4 linked regions of the Schizosaccharomyces pombe genome follow. The gene in region 3 interacts genetically with the main gene of each other region. Each region holds a gene or a part of one and is shown on either strand. Other genes may lie near its edges.

Region 1 (4,551 bases), on a different chromosome or scaffold from region 3:
AAACATTTGTAAGAGGGGCATGAGTAGAGTTTCTTTTTATGATTACAGTGAGTAGAGCAGGTTAAGAATCTAGTACTAGATTACTCGGCGTAAGTTAAATCTGCTGCAAAGAACTATGCAAAAAAAAGGTTACTTTAATAAATTTTTCGCAAGAGATTCGAGATAACTTTTTCTTTTAATATCTGCTAATTAAGTTTGTGATGTCTCTTAAATTGCTCATGCTTCTAATATCCTATAGTTCAATAAGCCTTTTCTTGTTCGTGTGTCCAAAGTTGCTAAGACCTCCTTTTGAAAAGAGGCAAACAAGCATGTAAAGAACACCCAGATATCAAACCACCCACAATGGCGCAATGGAGAAATAGTTGTTTTATCATTACAGCAGTCAATTATGCATTTGTTTTCATTTTATAGACGAGACTTTCGCTTATTATTTACCTTTATACTACAGATCATCAACAATGTCAGCAAATAAAGTTAAACGACTTTATCAAGAGTTCCAAAGCTTACAGAAAAGATTACTAATAAAATTTAAAAGACATTTAACGACTGTATTAAATTAAAACACGCAGCATATTCATTGAATACACGCTTTAAAAATTGTGACATCAAACACAATGAACTTCATGGTTGGTAAAATAAACGAATGAATAAATGAAAGATCGATGTAATAAGAAGCACATCTCCTATAAGCATAGTTCAGAAAGCTTAAACAATCTGATAGATGGCAGAGTATTCAAAAAAAAGCGACAAAAACCATGAAACAAAATATCATAAAAAAGAGTTTCAGAGCAAGAAGAAATAAGAGTATTTGACAGTTTAAAGAACGAAAAAAAAGCATAAGAATTACCATTATATCTCACAAGATAATTTCCCATTTTGTGTAAATTTAAGGAGTTCAAGAAATATAAATCTCTCCGACTTCACTTAATCCACCAGAGGAACTGATAAGGGCATTGTTATTACCAACACCGGCTCCGAGTTCGGTAGCAGGAGCAAACCAACTGTAACGCTCAACAGATCCATGTCCATCTAAAAAGCCAAGAGCGCTGGTCATCAAAGTCTTAACTTCATCCAATGAAGGTAAATTGCTATCATCCCAGTTGGTGCAAGCAAATTCAGTAAGCCAAATAGGGAGACCGTAATTGGCGAGAGAGTTAATATAATCTTGCAAATTGCTAAAGTCAATACCATACCAATGGCAAGCAATGAAATCGATCTTACAATCAGAGCATGCGCTCATGAATTCAGAAAGCCAATCTTCACCTACGTTACTGATGGCAGGTGATCCCAAATAACCAATGGCACCAGATTCACGAAGAGGTGTTAAGTATTGAAGATAATAACTAGCTGCAGTAGCTGCATCTATAGGATTTCCAGCAGCGGACAAATCAGGCTCATTAAATCCAATGACGGTAGCACCACCAGTGAAAACAGAAGAAGCTGAAGAAAGGCTATTGGCATCATGTTGGTTGAGAACATATTCAAAAGAGGAACTCAGACCAGATGAATAACTACCCCAGTTGTAATACCAGTTGATGCCCTTATTGACAAAGTTATCAGAGTAACCAAGGTCAGTTCCAGGAATCCAGGCCAAACCGCGCTTGCCAGAAACTGAAGAACTAGTAGGAGATGCTGATGCAGAGCTTGAGGTAGCACTGGAAATAGTACTAGAAGCAGCAACAGAAGTGGCACTAGAGACAACAGAGGAAACGACAGCTGAAGAGGAGGCGGCAGCTGAAGAAACAGCAGGAGTACTAACTCCCTTGTTAGCAGCAGAAACACTGGCACTTGCAACTACAGAAGAAAGAGCAATAGATGATGAGGAAGTGGGGACGTAAGATGTAGCAGAGCCAGCTGATATCTCTGATGAAGAAGCAACTGAAGACGAGACAGGAGCCACATAGGATGAAGTTGACGTAGCAACTTCAGAGCTAGCAGGATAAGAACTAGTAACTTCAGTACTAGAAGCAGAATAAGAGCTAGCAACTTCAGTACTAGAAGCAGGATAAGAAGAGCTAGATTCGGAACTGGTAGCAGGATACGAAGTGAAAAATTCAGAACTAGAAGTGGCAGATGTCTCGGGAGTTGATACAGGGACAGAAGTATTGGACCATACGGGTGCAGTAACGTTGTCCATAGTATATAGAGGAGTACTAACAAAAGTGGCAGGGTAGCTAGTGGCAGAGGAACTAGCAGCAGGGGCACTGGTTGTTACAACCACAGATTCCGTAGAGGTAGTAGGTAAAGCCGTTGAAGCACCATCGTCGGACGACTCGGTAACAGAAGCTAAACCAGTGGAGTAAGAAGTATATGAGGAAGATGAGTTAGCACCAGGAACTGCGGTAACATAAACAGTCTCCAAGATAGTCTCATACACGGTTAAAACGCCATCATCATCACGACGGTGATGGCGATGGTTAGGAGCATAGGGCAAAGCTCCAACGGTCGATAAAAAAGCTAAAGCGACGGTCGCGAAAGTAGTACGCATTTTTTTAGAAAATACTAGATAAAACGCGTCTAATACTAAAAAAAGAAAGAAAAGATGAAATTTGGTATATAGTTGATATATAAAAGAGTGGAAAGGAGTGTTGCTAAAGAACGGACAACGACTCTTATAGACTAGCTTCTACTGTGGTGGTTGGTGAACGACAAGCCGCGTTCATTATCAAGCCACTCATATATATACCAGTTATGAAAATTTGATTATACATAAAAACTTTAAATATAATATTTATTAAATTTGCTGAGTAAATTCAATTTTTTAAAATCAAAGTCAGACTCATATTGAGGGAAAAATGAATCTGAGTCGGTTACCACTGAAACACCAGGTCCACCTAATTGAACATCGTAAATAGAATTTTTATGGGCTAATAGTGATTCTTTACATAACTTAAATTCCTCTTCTTTGCACTCAGGTGTTAATAAAGTAATCGTACAACCTCCACCACCGGCACCTGTAAGCTTCGTCCATCCAATTGACTTAGTGGCTTGTAAAACGCGATCAATGGAATAATGGGATACACCCAAGCATTCTAAGAGTTTTTGATTAAGAACAATAAACTCTCCTAACTTTTTAGCGGAGGAGTTTTTATCGCTCTCCGAAGTCAATGCGAGGACGGCAGACTTTGATATGCCATCGATTGCATCTATTATTGAGTCAATCACAGTTGGTAGTCTTTCCTTCAGTTCAAAAACTCCTTGTACAAGTTTTTTAGTACTTTTTGGTTGTTTGGTATCAGTGATCATAACAGATAAGGTATCTTTAGGCTTTAAGAATTCTTTCATGGCACTCTGATGAGCTGTAGCTTTACGAAAAGCGATAAGTCCTCCATTTGTTGCTACTGCATTATCAATACCACTTGGTGTTCCATGAATACAGCATTCACCTAGAAAAGACCAAGCCTCTATCAACGCAAGTGCTTTGTTGTTTTGAAGAGAATTTGAGCTAGGAGGTTCAATATTACCAAAAGCTAGTAGTAAACTTGTAGCGACAACAACTGATATAGTAGCACTACTACCTAATCCAGCACCCAAAGGTACTTGGGAGCTAATAGTTAAAGTACAACCCTGAGAAGGAGAAGACAAAGACGTGAACAAGTAAAGGGTACAAAGCATTGCTGAGTGAATAAGTCCGTTTTCTTCATTTTTTAATAGCTCTCCTAATCCTTGTAAAAGGTCCAGATTGGGAGATGATGCCGGGTGCTGAACGTTTTCCACTGTTACATGCTGCCAAGGTAGCGATTGAAGATTCCATCGGCGTTCGGTCCCTATATCACTCATCACAATTACTATTTCATTGTTATTAGTCGTCTGTAATTTACAGTAACTCCGTAACGATACAGCTGCAGCTAACGCAGTCTAGAAAGTTAGCATAAAAATTTAAATGATCTCCATATTTTCGCTTTAAAATGGCTTAAGATTAGAATCAAAAATAAGCATGGCTATAGCAGAATGACATTTGCGACGACTGTCAAAGTTAAAAGTGGTGTTCGCTTTGCAAATACTATGTTACAAAGAAATCATATATGCATAACAGAGCTGTATCCAGTACTAGCCTGTTAAAAACTCTCGCTAATGTAATCTGCTTTAAACCTTAGGTAAACTTACAGCTCCATATACAACGGCATGTTCCCCAAACAAAATCGTTTTTCCTGGCGACGAAACAATAAGCGATTTTGACATTTCAGAAATTTTTTTTACGTTCAACTTCAAAACACAGTTAAAATAAGGTGATGGTAAATAGGCGACGAAGGTTGGTTATCGACAGATATCTACGCAAACAGGACAAGGTGATGATGGTATTGGAAGTTGTAGCAAAAGATTGGTATTTTAATTAAAAAGTTACTTTATTTGATTTTGTTTTAAAAGTTCTTTTGTAATAAAAATCGCGATGTTATAGTTTTCATATGCGCTAAGGAAAATGACTTTTTAAACGAGGTATACAGCGCAAAACTCGTTAGACATTTACATAAAACCATAAAATACTACATTTATAGCTTATAGCAAGAAAGCAAGAGCAAGTACATATATGATGAGTATTGATAACATAAT
Region 2 (3,143 bases), 840 kb from region 3:
GGGATAGTTGGCTCTGTTTTATTTATGCTCGTATATCTCTTTTATTTTTTAAAAACAGAATATAATAGGTACAAGAGGTTGAGCATGTAAACGATGTCGTAAAGATGTTTTTGGGTAAAAAAAGGGTCATTAATAATAATTTTAATCATGATGAATTTCCTTGGAAATTAGACATTCATCTGCCACTGTTTGACATGTTGCTGTGTTGATAAAAATTCATTTAAGGACAATTGATACGTTTTAGAAATGAAAATGTTTATTGCACAAACAAAAATATAATGAAAATGTTTATTGCACAAACACAAAATAAATGCAAAAAAAAGAAAAAATCATTGAAAACTTAGAGAAAGCAGGTAACACATTTCATTTAATTATTAAATGTAATACTATTGCACGGATACTAAAAAATTTATCAACATATGCTATATTACTCAATTCCAACATATTAGAAGAACATGTTGATCTGCTTCTTATATATCTCTCTACTCAAAGAATGTGGAAGCTAAATAACTTAAAAAAAACACTGCAATATAAGGGAAGCAAAAAAAAATAGCCTTACAATACGATGAAATTTAAATACAAAAAATTCGCATTGAATAGTATTTTAATAACTACATCAAAGGAAAACAAAGATGAAGCCAAGTAATGGCAAATTATGCACTGAAAAGTATAAATGGACCCATTACGACCGAAATTTCATTTACTGTCTGCGACGGAAACGCTCTTGAGGGGCAGGAGCAAGCACACGGACGGGAATTTGATCGTAGCCAAGAGACTTAAGCATGTCCTTGGTGTCTTGGTCAACGTTAACACGATCGACCTCAAGCTCAGAAACTTCAGGAACGTATTGATCCTTGCGTTCACGCTCCTCTTCTTGAAGCTTGAAGGAGATACCACGAACGGGACCACGTTGAATACGTTTCATTAAGTGAGTCGTGTAACCGGCAATTTTATTACGAAGACGCTTAGAGGCGATGATAGCGACTTCGTCAACAATTCTCTTGTTGGTTTGGAAATCAAGAGTGAGACGAGGGTAATATTTTTCAATTACCACACGGGAAGCTCTCTTGGTAGTTTTGGTACGTACACGACCCTAGAGGAATGTTAGTTATGCACAAAAAAAATCAATTTCGTAGATAAACGTAAGGATTAGGATTGCAAAGAGAAGCATGAATGAAAGAAAAAAAATTTTATGTGTATTCAAATGGACCATGTGAAGAGAACCTACGTTTAAGTAAATGTTTATATTTGCCGCATAGAAAAAACGTCAATTTATGGCTTTAGTAAGCTACAAAACTAAAGAGTAAATTTTGTTCAAATAGACCGAGAGCTTCGACTTTGCAACTCCAACCATGCTTTATAACTACTTACCATTTTGAAGTTATTCGAGATGGAAGTGGTTGAATTCCTTTGGTTATTCTTTCAAGTTAGAAACCGACACTGTGACTGGTTTTTCATTAACTAGGGTAGGGTCCACATATATGTAACCGGGCGCCGCTTCTAAAGCGTATGCACATTCCAGTGTACATCTGCGACATAAAAGCTGTATTCGTTGTTCGTAACCTCCGTCGCTTCTGTTGTGATGGTTAGTGAATTAATGTGTGGAGAAAATTAAATTTTCGTTCCGAAAATCAGTAAACAAATAAAAAATTTCCACATGTATGATCAACCAACAACAAACCAGGTGCTTATGTGTTTATATAAGGAACGATAAGTTAAAACAACTTACCTAGTAATGTAATATTTGTTGCCTGTGGAGAAATGTGCTATATGATTTAATTTTTCGTCCACAACATGGCGTTTATCTAGTTGCCGTTGCGGAAGACGAGTAAGAGAGACATGTATGGTTAAAAAAAGTTGACCACACGGGCAAAAATATGAATAGGCTTTAAAAGAATCCTTTCCTTGATTACTCATGAAGTGAACGATCCTAAGAAGATGTCGTTTTATAATAGTCTTGCAGTTTAAGTTGTGTGTAGCAGATCAGTATTACTATAACGATATCGCAGTTTTATCAATTAGAACGAAAATTACGAATTACAAGGTATTGAAATTTTTGTGCGCAAAGTTTAAATTGTTCAAATTTTCGGTACAGTAAGATAAAAAAAAAAATTTTGTATCTCAATACTAGACTGCTTGTTATGTGCGAACCTCCGATGTCTTCTAAAGAGAGAGCTACAGGCTTAGTTGAGAGGCGTGAGTTGGCGAAATTTGCTGCTTATTAATTCAAGCTGAAATGAGTGAATGAATAAAGGGTTTGAGTGTTAAAATTGCCGACCTCTAACTAGCAGCAATACGAAATATAGAATAGGTAATAATATCCAATATTTCAATTAAATAAGCATTTGCATTCTTTATATAGCCTACCCATTGATGAAGTCGCACATTACGCTTGTCGGCGGATATCGTTATATAATTCCATTTGTAGTATATATGTTTATAGCTAATTTCATTGAAATTAAAGAAGGGGGATTCTATGGAAATGATTTTTTAAAAATTAAATTTTTAACCAGAGTTCTTTGATTCGTGCCAAATCCACCCGTGCATCTGTTGTAACTGCGCATTGAAATTATTCGTACCTTGCACTTTTCCTAGTATGAACGAATATATAGTCTCATATGGGAGTCAATCAAGTACAAATGGATTTAGGAAAAGGTGTTATTGCTTAATCGGCTTCTGCTCGAAACCGGTACATCTATTTACTTAGCCCACAAATGATTTAAAAAAAAAACACAGTAAGAACTCATGCCAAAAGCATTTTTTTTGAAACTAAATGTATTACTAATGTATGTATCTCAAATTTTGTAAATGTGCTCCTTTCAGTTAAATTCTCAAAACATCCTTAAAAAGATTTTTGGTATATTCTCTTATATAGTTCCCCGCATATGCTCGAAGCAAAGTTCGCAGTGTCTTCTTTTTAGAGTTTTCTATTTACAATTAACAGACAGGCTAGATGAGAACACCTTTTTTCAAAACAATCTTCAAGTGCTGCAACAAGCGATAAGTCCGAAAACATATTAAAGGTTGCTGTTTTGTTCCTTCATTATTTTGCACAGCAGCATGTGAGCGAAAATTGGCTTTTTCTTGCATTACATCAGGAAAATTCAATAATAAAAAAAATGACATTTCGGAGAAACGAGCTG
Region 3 (3,858 bases):
AAGATTGCATGGAAACCTGCCCTGCTATTTTCTTATTAGGATCTGAAAACTTGGTGATCACTTGGGAGGAAGGGTTTTCACTGTCTGCTCTAACCGTCAAAGCATTACTACCAATAGTGTCTTCTTCGTAATGTCGGTTCTTCCGTTTTCCAACAGTTCCTCCAAGAACAGAACCATATTCTAAATGTTCTTTGTATGTTCTTTTGAGATTTTGAGCTACAGTATCGTCAAAACTGGTAACTGACCCAAACTCGGCTCCAAAAAGAGTTTTTGATGTTCTAAGACTATTTGTAGTCAAAGAAAGTACATCTGTATCATCCGATATGTTTTTTGCTTCTGTCATAAATCTGTTAAATTTTTGGTAGAGGATTTGTAGGTAGATGGCAGTTGGACTGACTTATTTGAAGCATCATAATCCACGAACATTAGCGAACGAGAAATATTAAGTACTAATATTTGAGAATAAAGTAGCTTACAAATGAATTGTCAAAATAAAAAAAGGGATGGTTATCAAGTAATAAAAGTTTGTAATATATATACATTTATTAAACGGTCTAGTTACGGATTATTAATAACATGATGTTCTAAAAGCGATAGTAGCAATAAATATATGGAGAGGAGGAAATGATGGAAAGTAATTAATTAACCCTGAATTTAAAAAGTAAATCATGCACAGGTAGTCTTGTCTAAAAAGAAAAAAAAGAAGCGGTAGAGAGGATTTGTGTATAAGTCAGGTAGTACTCAGAAAATACAAGTCGAAGAAAAGATAGATCAAAACGGATCATTGTAAAGCATTCAAAATTGAATTAATGGCCCATTGGACGTTATCTCTCACAGACATTTTACTAGAAGGGCTTAACTGTATACGCTTATCAAGCAATTTCCCTGTCACATCGCCATTGACAAACAAATGGGAATGACCATGTACATAGCCAGGCCAAACATAATTTTCGAAATAATGTGGGGGGTCTTGCCAAAATCCTGGAACAATTTGGAGTTAGCCTTAACTGAAAGGTACAACGATTAAACACAGGTGTTATGTTTTATCTGGATAGTTGAATTCTTACCTTCCAACGTTATATAACCAGTACGGGCTTCTCTACGACGCTTAAGCGTATCAAAATCGGTCACCAGCATCAGTCGAATATCAAATGCGTTTATAAGGTCTTCATTAACGTACATCATAAATCCGTCTACGAAAACGAGATGCTGTTCCAAAGTTGGAATGGCCGGTGCCTTGAATTCTTTAATTATATCAGCGTATTCTATTAGGGCTTCAGGAGCAACATTTTTATTTTCCCTATTTCGAAGGTGAGTAGGTAACACGCCATGATCACGGATATAATGCAAATTTTCAAGGAAAGCGTCTAAATTCAACGACTCTTGGCAATCCCAATCGGCAATGCCGTTTTTGACTGGTATCTCAGCATCAGTCTACAAAACAAACGAGTTAGTATATCAATAGGTGCTTTGGCACTACATAAAAACACAGTGTTTGCTTCATCGATAAGATTCAACCATCGGTTTTTAAAACGAGGGTACGATTTATTCTATGACACTTGCAAAATTCGCACGACTAGGCAAATAGACGAAATAATCTAAACGAACCTTGTAAAAATCATCTTCATGAACGAGAGAAGATCCTTCAAAAATGGCATGTAAAAGCTGGCATAGAGTCTGTCAAAACAAGAAAGAGAAATTGGTTAGTACTTCATTTTTTTTTTATTTTGGAGTTTTTGATTTTATTTTATTCTTTCTTATTAATCAAAATTATCATACCGATTTTCCACTACAAGAGGCACCACTAATTTTTTCTTGTTAATAAAAATTCATTAAAACAATTGCCTGTAGAACTTACCTAACCCCAACAATGATAGTTTTCCGAGTCATTCTAATGATAATATGGAAAAATGAAGGTAAAAATTGAGACAAGAAGCCTGGACAGAAGCTGGATACTGGAATTCGGTCTGTTATATTTGCACAACACAATTAATTAATTACCAGCCAAAAGCTGTAAGACAGGTTAACCGAATTTTAAAAAGAATTTGGATTTAAACAAAGCGCCTAGTATCTTAAATCAAGCTCGATGATTATTTGTTATGGAAATAAACGAGAATTTTAAAAAGATATGTGGTAAAGAAGCCGAATCCACAAAATTTTATAACAACCAACAAAACTTTTAGATATACAAGAACAAGTAAAAGATCACTTATAACGATTTCGCAAGTATAAGAAAATGGAAAAAGAAAGGAGTATACAAATTCTTTACGGTATAAATGGAGGATTTGAAAGATAATTTAAATTCACCAAATATTAACGCTTTCGAATACGTATAAGAATTTTTATATGGCAAATATGCCCGGTAAAGATTAATGGTGTTTTGAGTTATTGATCGTTTAAAACAAGAGTGAAATAGGAGGAAGGCTGGAGTTGGTAGTATGAAGATATGGTTAGTAGTATAATCAGTCAATAATACAAGGCTTTGGATGATAGCAATATACTAATCCGCTCCCGTCATGTATCCTTTACGAAAAGATAGGGTAGATAATAAGAGTAAAAAATACAATTTTTGTTTAAAATATATATATTTTTTGATTAGATAAAAAAAAGTGGTTCACTTTTTTTATTTATTTAGCCAAAGTATGTAGGAAATTGGAATTCTTTAATTGTTTTGCGAAAATTATTTTATTAATTATTGCTTTTTCCTTTCAAATTTGTGATAAACTATGTCTGAATAATATTAGTTTGCTATTTTCATTTTTTAAGTCGTTTTAATGTCTTTTGCTTATTGTTTACATTACACTTACTTAGTTCTACGGTAGCAAAGTTTTTATCAACTCCATGAAATGCGAATATTTCGATGAATTTAAAAAATATATGTATATTGGTTGAGTTTCTTGAGGCCTTGTTAAACGATTTTTGTAGTACTACACTTAGTAAATATAAAATTTTTTAACACTAGGTGTTTGGCTTCAGTTTTCCAATTTGACTAGCTTCAATTGCTTTTCCAAAAAAAAAATAAAAAAATAAATAAAATATAATAAAGCTATAAATTGCATGTAAATTGGATGAAACAATAGAATTAGTAATAATAATAAATACTGAATTCAAACATTAAGGAAATTTAAGGACACTATTTTAAAAATGAAATCAATATTGATCGAATTTCAATGGATCTGTATTGAATGCCAATGTAATTAGGAAATTAAAAGACCTTTTGGTTTAATAAAAAAATAAAAAAAGCCGTACCGATCTCTACCTTTGTTCATTATATCAATCTAATATGAGACGTAAAACTACGGATTATGAATAGTAAGTTTTCAAAGAGATTATAAAATAATACTCTTTGCATAAATTCTTCTCATCCTTTCAATTAACAGCGAAACGACGAAACACTGACAATCAATTAAATAAAAAAAAATACTATATCAGTGAGGAACGTCAAGTGAAGCTCAAGATTCGAAGTTGGCAATGAACTTTTATCCTCATAGAATTTCAAATCTATCCACATGTCTGTAAACAATGCATCAATGTATGGATATTACCAATGTACTAAACTGATCGTGGACAAATAATCTCAGAAAAGTCAATTTTTAAACAATATTGTTTTTGTAAAGATACTACTTCTGTTGTTTAGTCCAAAAATCCACTTACTCTACTATGTGCTTTCCTTTTCTTATAACGCATTGTTACGAACTTCATTTATTTACTTTTCCTTACAAACCTTCCATTCGTAAACCAGCATGTGGAAAACCTAAGATATCCCAAATTTTTTGGAGCCTTTAATTGTGCAATTGTAAATAAAAAATCTACATAACAAATTGTCTTAACCAAGTTGACAACGTCTTAATTTGTTGG
Region 4 (4,343 bases), on a different chromosome or scaffold from region 3:
TGTCAGTAAACGTTAGTAATCGAAAACGAATATAATTCTTTAATTCATTGAGAATACAGCAGGGAAACCAGCAAGTGGAGAATACAGTGACACAGACGGTGCCTTGACGTACGTTAGTGGTGTATGTATATCGAAAACTAAGCTTGGTTTTGGATAATTGCTTTCTTCATGATTAATATGATTAATTTAATATCTTAGTAAAAATTCCTAATCAGTAGTTTAAGTCGTTTATTGGTTAAAAATAGAATGGTAGAATAAGACAAGTGATACACTAGGAGCTGATATTTAGTATACGCATAGACCCAAATTAATTCAAATGCTAGTATTTTTTGACTGTATAATAGTTTCTTCAAAAAGAGCTCTAGCAGCACTTCACAAAGGCCTAAAAACAGTAAAAAGATTGAAACTAGTGTATACAAAAATTAGGTGAGAAAATAAGATTGCATTCAGGAATTGATCGAGTCGAATTTTGTATTACCTTCAAGTATTTATCTTCCAGCAATGCGAAATCAAACTCATGTCAATGATTAAATAGAATAAAGAATCAATGCTGAATTTCTTTGAAATTGTTTTACGATATACGGTATAAAGAAGGATAAGTGTTTAAGATTCGAAATAGTGCTTTTTTAAAGAGATAATGATGTATTCCTTAAAATGATGCTGCACGGGATATTTCTTTGTTTAGCAATAAAGTAATTTGTGCCATTTACTGTTTCAATTTTTTCCAATATTTTTTTTTTTTTAAATTTGTTGTAATAATTTTTTAATTAAATTTTTTTTAAACAAGATATTCTAGCATATGCTGGCTAATTTTATTTTATTTACATATTTTTTAAATATTTAATAAAGTTTAACTATTGCTTCAATTTTTTCAAATACCTATTGAAAATGATTTTGAGCTGAATCACTGAGTGAATAAATCGATCCTTACAATAGCAGGCAATTGACAAGTTATAAGAAATTTAGTTGGAATCATTACATAGTTGCATTTTTAGAGTAACTGAATTTGAGTCATACACACATAAACTGAGTTCTTAAATGACTACGATAACCTCAGAATTACACACACGGTCATAGGGTAGGACATAGCTGGAATCTAAAAAATAAAAAAAAAAATACTGTATGTAATGCACAATATTATAGAATTTGTAGGAACTATAGAAAACAGATAATCCATAGATGCTTTGAGTAGGGATAAATCAACAAATAAAAGCATTTAAAACCAATTCGTATTTTCTTGATGCTTTGTTTACATACTTACTATGTACTGAGTATCTTATATCTACGCATCAGATAATCTACAGTAGTGCAAAGAGAATGCGTTATAAAATCTGAAGTTTCAAAGTTCATACTTGGTATATTTTGGGATGTCTACACTATAAAAGAGAATCTAAACCTCGATTAAAAAGATGGTCGTTCATAAGAAAATAAATGGGTCGGTAAAAGTTTCAATTTGTAATCATTGATTGCAAGCCCTGCTCATTTCCTAGGAAAACCATGACATAGTGATTTGCAAATATAAGTTTGCAAAATAGTATAATGAAACGCAGCGTAGTTGTAATCACAAAGACGCGGTTTTTGTGACATTTTGAACACACTACTCTAGTACGAACCATACTGACAAAGAAGTGTGCGGTTTGGTTTCACAATCCTTTATCTACTCATCTGTAATTCCTAACTCAGGCGCTTATTAAATTATTTAAAATCTGTGGAAATAATTGCGCCTTAAATGCATTAAAGCTCATTTGCACTTATAATATACTGTATAAATTAAATTGAATTCGACGTGAAATAAGCAGAAAAAAGGAGGAAAAATGACTAAACTCTGGGTAAATTTTTTCAGCCAGAAATTATTAAGGCTTTTAATCCCATCAATAATAGTGGTATTTGCTTTCGCTGCTCTATTTGCAATATACAGTCCCATTCAACTTGGAGGCATCAATTTCTATAAAAGAACCAACTTATTTACCGTTGAAGAATTGGGCGAAAAAGAATTGGAACTATCTAAGACCGTTACTATCGATATATACAGAAAAGCAATGTGCATGGATGATTTGGAGCAATCGCGCAAATGTACAACGTTCGGTTTGGATCCACCGATTTCTGCTCACTTATTTTACACATATAACCGTGATACGGGTATGAATAGAGTTGCGAGACAATGGAATCGAAGAATTCCAAGGGTATTTCATACCATTAAGGGATCTAATTTCATTGAATTGTCTCAATTCACGGCATTTGAAGTCGAACTTCGCGTAAGCCACCCAAATTGGGCTTTTGTTAGTTGGTCACATGATGATTTAAACGAATTAGTTGACAAATCATATCATAATCTTCATAATGCCTGGTCTCAGTTATCGCGTGAAGCTAAAGATCAGTGGGGATTTTTATTGGGATTGTATGAGTATGGCGGTGTTTGGATGTCTCGTTCTTTACAGCTTAAAAAAAATATTGATAAATTTGTTTATGCGGCGGAGTTATCCGTAAAACAATTTACAGAAAATATCACATCTTCGACTGTTGAGGAGTTCCAACCGATTTTTATGGCCCCAAAGTCCCTACAGTATGACTTTATGATTGCTACTCCTAAGCATCCGTTTGTTCTCTCTCTCATTAACGAACTTTGCAAGTCGGAAGTTTTATTAAAAATCCTTTCTAAAAGGCCCTATCATGGTCTTGATGCAGCTGAAGCGTTGTTTGCAGAAAACCGAGAGTCTATTACAATTCGTGAGCAAGAATTCTTTGTCAACACTTATATCGATGACGGGAAAGTTTTTGTGAAGAATAACCCTCACATCATTTTTATCCCAACAGAAGCCTTTGCTTCAACTTGGGACTTCCTTCCTAGTGAAGAATCTTCTGAAATGTGTTTCGCCGACTCTCCCCTGTTTGACCCTGACTATTGCATTAGCCACAGTTCAAAACCGGATGGGAACGAACTTGCCATATACTGGTCTAATTCATTCGACTTGATAACTGCTTGATGATATTATGATGTTTCATCTTTTTATCTTTTCACAAATTTAATTTCATTCAGCAAACAATAAACCTGACTTGATCCTTTAACTTTTTTTTTCTCTCTAAGGTATCACCTACAGTTATGTGCGTTTCTTCCTAATCATAGTTTTTATTTAATACTATTGCTAAGCATCCGTTTTATAATCAAATATTTTCTGTCGTGGAACTGTCCTGCAGCTTGTTTTTCTAATGTGCCAACTATGTCTTTACATTTAATGTTCTATGGTTCTATTGTCTTTCTTTCTTTTTTTTAGTTTTTTATTTTATCAGATCTAGGAAAAGCTTGTTTCTTAGTTTTTTAAATTCGATCCTTCATTTATTGTTCAACTGTAAAGTTTGTGATACTTTTATAGCTACTAACAGGTAATCAATCTTGTTCTCTCCTCTCTAGATTTCATTTTATTACAAATTAATGTTATTTAGGCAACAGCTTTTTCCTAATCGATTATTAAGCTTTAGAAAATACTATTTTTGAATTGAACCCCTTGCCAATAATAAACCAACTATTGAGCTCGGTTCTTATTCTAATTGTATTTGTAATAGTGAACTAAGTATGCTAAAGGATTCCTTGTTTTTTAAGTCTTCCAGAAATCCAGAAAGAAGCTCAATCAAAACAGCAAATATTATTGGTAAGGAACAATTTCCTGATCATAATAATGGTAAATGAATTTGTCTCTTCAATTTTATTTTATGTCAGCAATACTACACTACGCTATAATACACTACGTTGAGTATCACTATATGTCACATGTTCTAATTATATATCGTACCATGTATGATACGATATGGAGATTGATCTTAATGATAATCTATTAAGATCAATATTATCTGAATACTATAAATAGAGCTACTGCTGAACCTCGTTCCTCAGTTCAGTTATGAGCTATATTAGTGATAGGTAACATTATAACCCAGTTAATACAATACCTATACTCAGTTGCTACTTATACAACCTGTGTATCGTAATATAATAGATCACAAGGAAAACTCACCGCAGTTCTACGTATCCTTAAATCAGATACCAAACTGCGTAGCTTACAATAACTGAACTCTTGTGATCTACAATTAACTCCTTTTAGGAAAAAGGAATTATTGAATAAATATATATCATAAATATATATATTTCTCTCCTTCTGGGTTCAAAGGAGAAGGAACTTTGGAAGGACTGTTATCCCTTTTGAAATCTCCCAAAGGGAAACATATACAATGTCCTACGCAAATTATCGTTATATGAAAGCAAGAGCAAAACGATGGAGACCAGAGAATTTGGATGGAATTCAAACATCAGACGAACATTTAATAAACCTTTTTGCAAAAATATTATC

Evidence for each region.
Region 1: mutations in nrk1 (region 3) and asl1 together harm fitness more than expected from each alone (negative genetic interaction), as found in Schizosaccharomyces pombe (one large-scale study listed by BioGRID).
Region 2: mutations in nrk1 (region 3) and rps1701 together harm fitness more than expected from each alone (negative genetic interaction), as found in Schizosaccharomyces pombe (one large-scale study listed by BioGRID).
Region 4: mutations in nrk1 (region 3) and pvg2 together harm fitness more than expected from each alone (negative genetic interaction), as found in Schizosaccharomyces pombe (one large-scale study listed by BioGRID).

Annotation. Positions count from the first base shown.
Region 1 is NC_003424.3:191,401-195,951, forward strand, and holds asl1 (O-glucosyl hydrolase Asl1), read right to left. Parts: upstream 2,651-4,551; 5' UTR 2,489-2,650; coding exon 896-2,488; 3' UTR 528-895; downstream 1-527. Other genes in the region: mevalonate kinase Erg12, read right to left, coding at 2,719-3,858, 4,108-4,182.
Region 2 is NC_003423.3:603,004-606,146, forward strand, and holds rps1701 (40S ribosomal protein eS17), read right to left. Parts: upstream 1,403-3,143; 5' UTR 1,375-1,402; coding exon 1,372-1,374; intron 1,368-1,371; exon of another isoform or gene 1,126-1,367; intron 1,094-1,125; coding exon 701-1,093; 3' UTR 554-700; downstream 1-553. Other genes in the region: protein new14, read left to right, coding at 311-553; protein new20, read right to left, coding at 1,415-1,574, 1,730-1,917. UniProt on the Schizosaccharomyces pombe protein: Component of the ribosome, a large ribonucleoprotein complex responsible for the synthesis of proteins in the cell.
Region 3 is NC_003423.3:1,442,597-1,446,454, reverse strand, and holds nrk1 (nicotinamide riboside kinase), read right to left. Parts: upstream 1,891-3,858; coding exon 1,859-1,890; exon of another isoform or gene 1,805-1,858; coding exon 1,780-1,804; exon of another isoform or gene 1,678-1,779; coding exon 1,609-1,677; exon of another isoform or gene 1,557-1,608; intron 1,435-1,556; coding exon 1,068-1,434; intron 982-1,067; coding exon 782-981; 3' UTR 524-781; downstream 1-523. Other genes in the region: Prp19 complex WD repeat protein Prp5, read right to left, coding at 1-343. UniProt on the Schizosaccharomyces pombe protein: Catalyzes the phosphorylation of nicotinamide riboside (NR) and nicotinic acid riboside (NaR) to form nicotinamide mononucleotide (NMN) and nicotinic acid mononucleotide (NaMN).
Region 4 is NC_003424.3:4,018,268-4,022,610, forward strand, and holds pvg2 (Golgi 4,6-pyruvylated galactose (PvGal) residue biosynthesis protein Pvg2), read left to right. Parts: upstream 1-1,607; 5' UTR 1,608-1,814; coding exon 1,815-2,984; 3' UTR 2,985-3,787; downstream 3,788-4,343. Other genes in the region: Tf2-6 (retrotransposable element/transposon Tf2-type), read left to right, coding at 4,225-4,343. UniProt on the Schizosaccharomyces pombe protein: Involved in cell wall biogenesis. Has a role in the addition of Gal-beta1,3 moeities to galactomannans and their subsequent pyruvylation. Has a role in meiosis.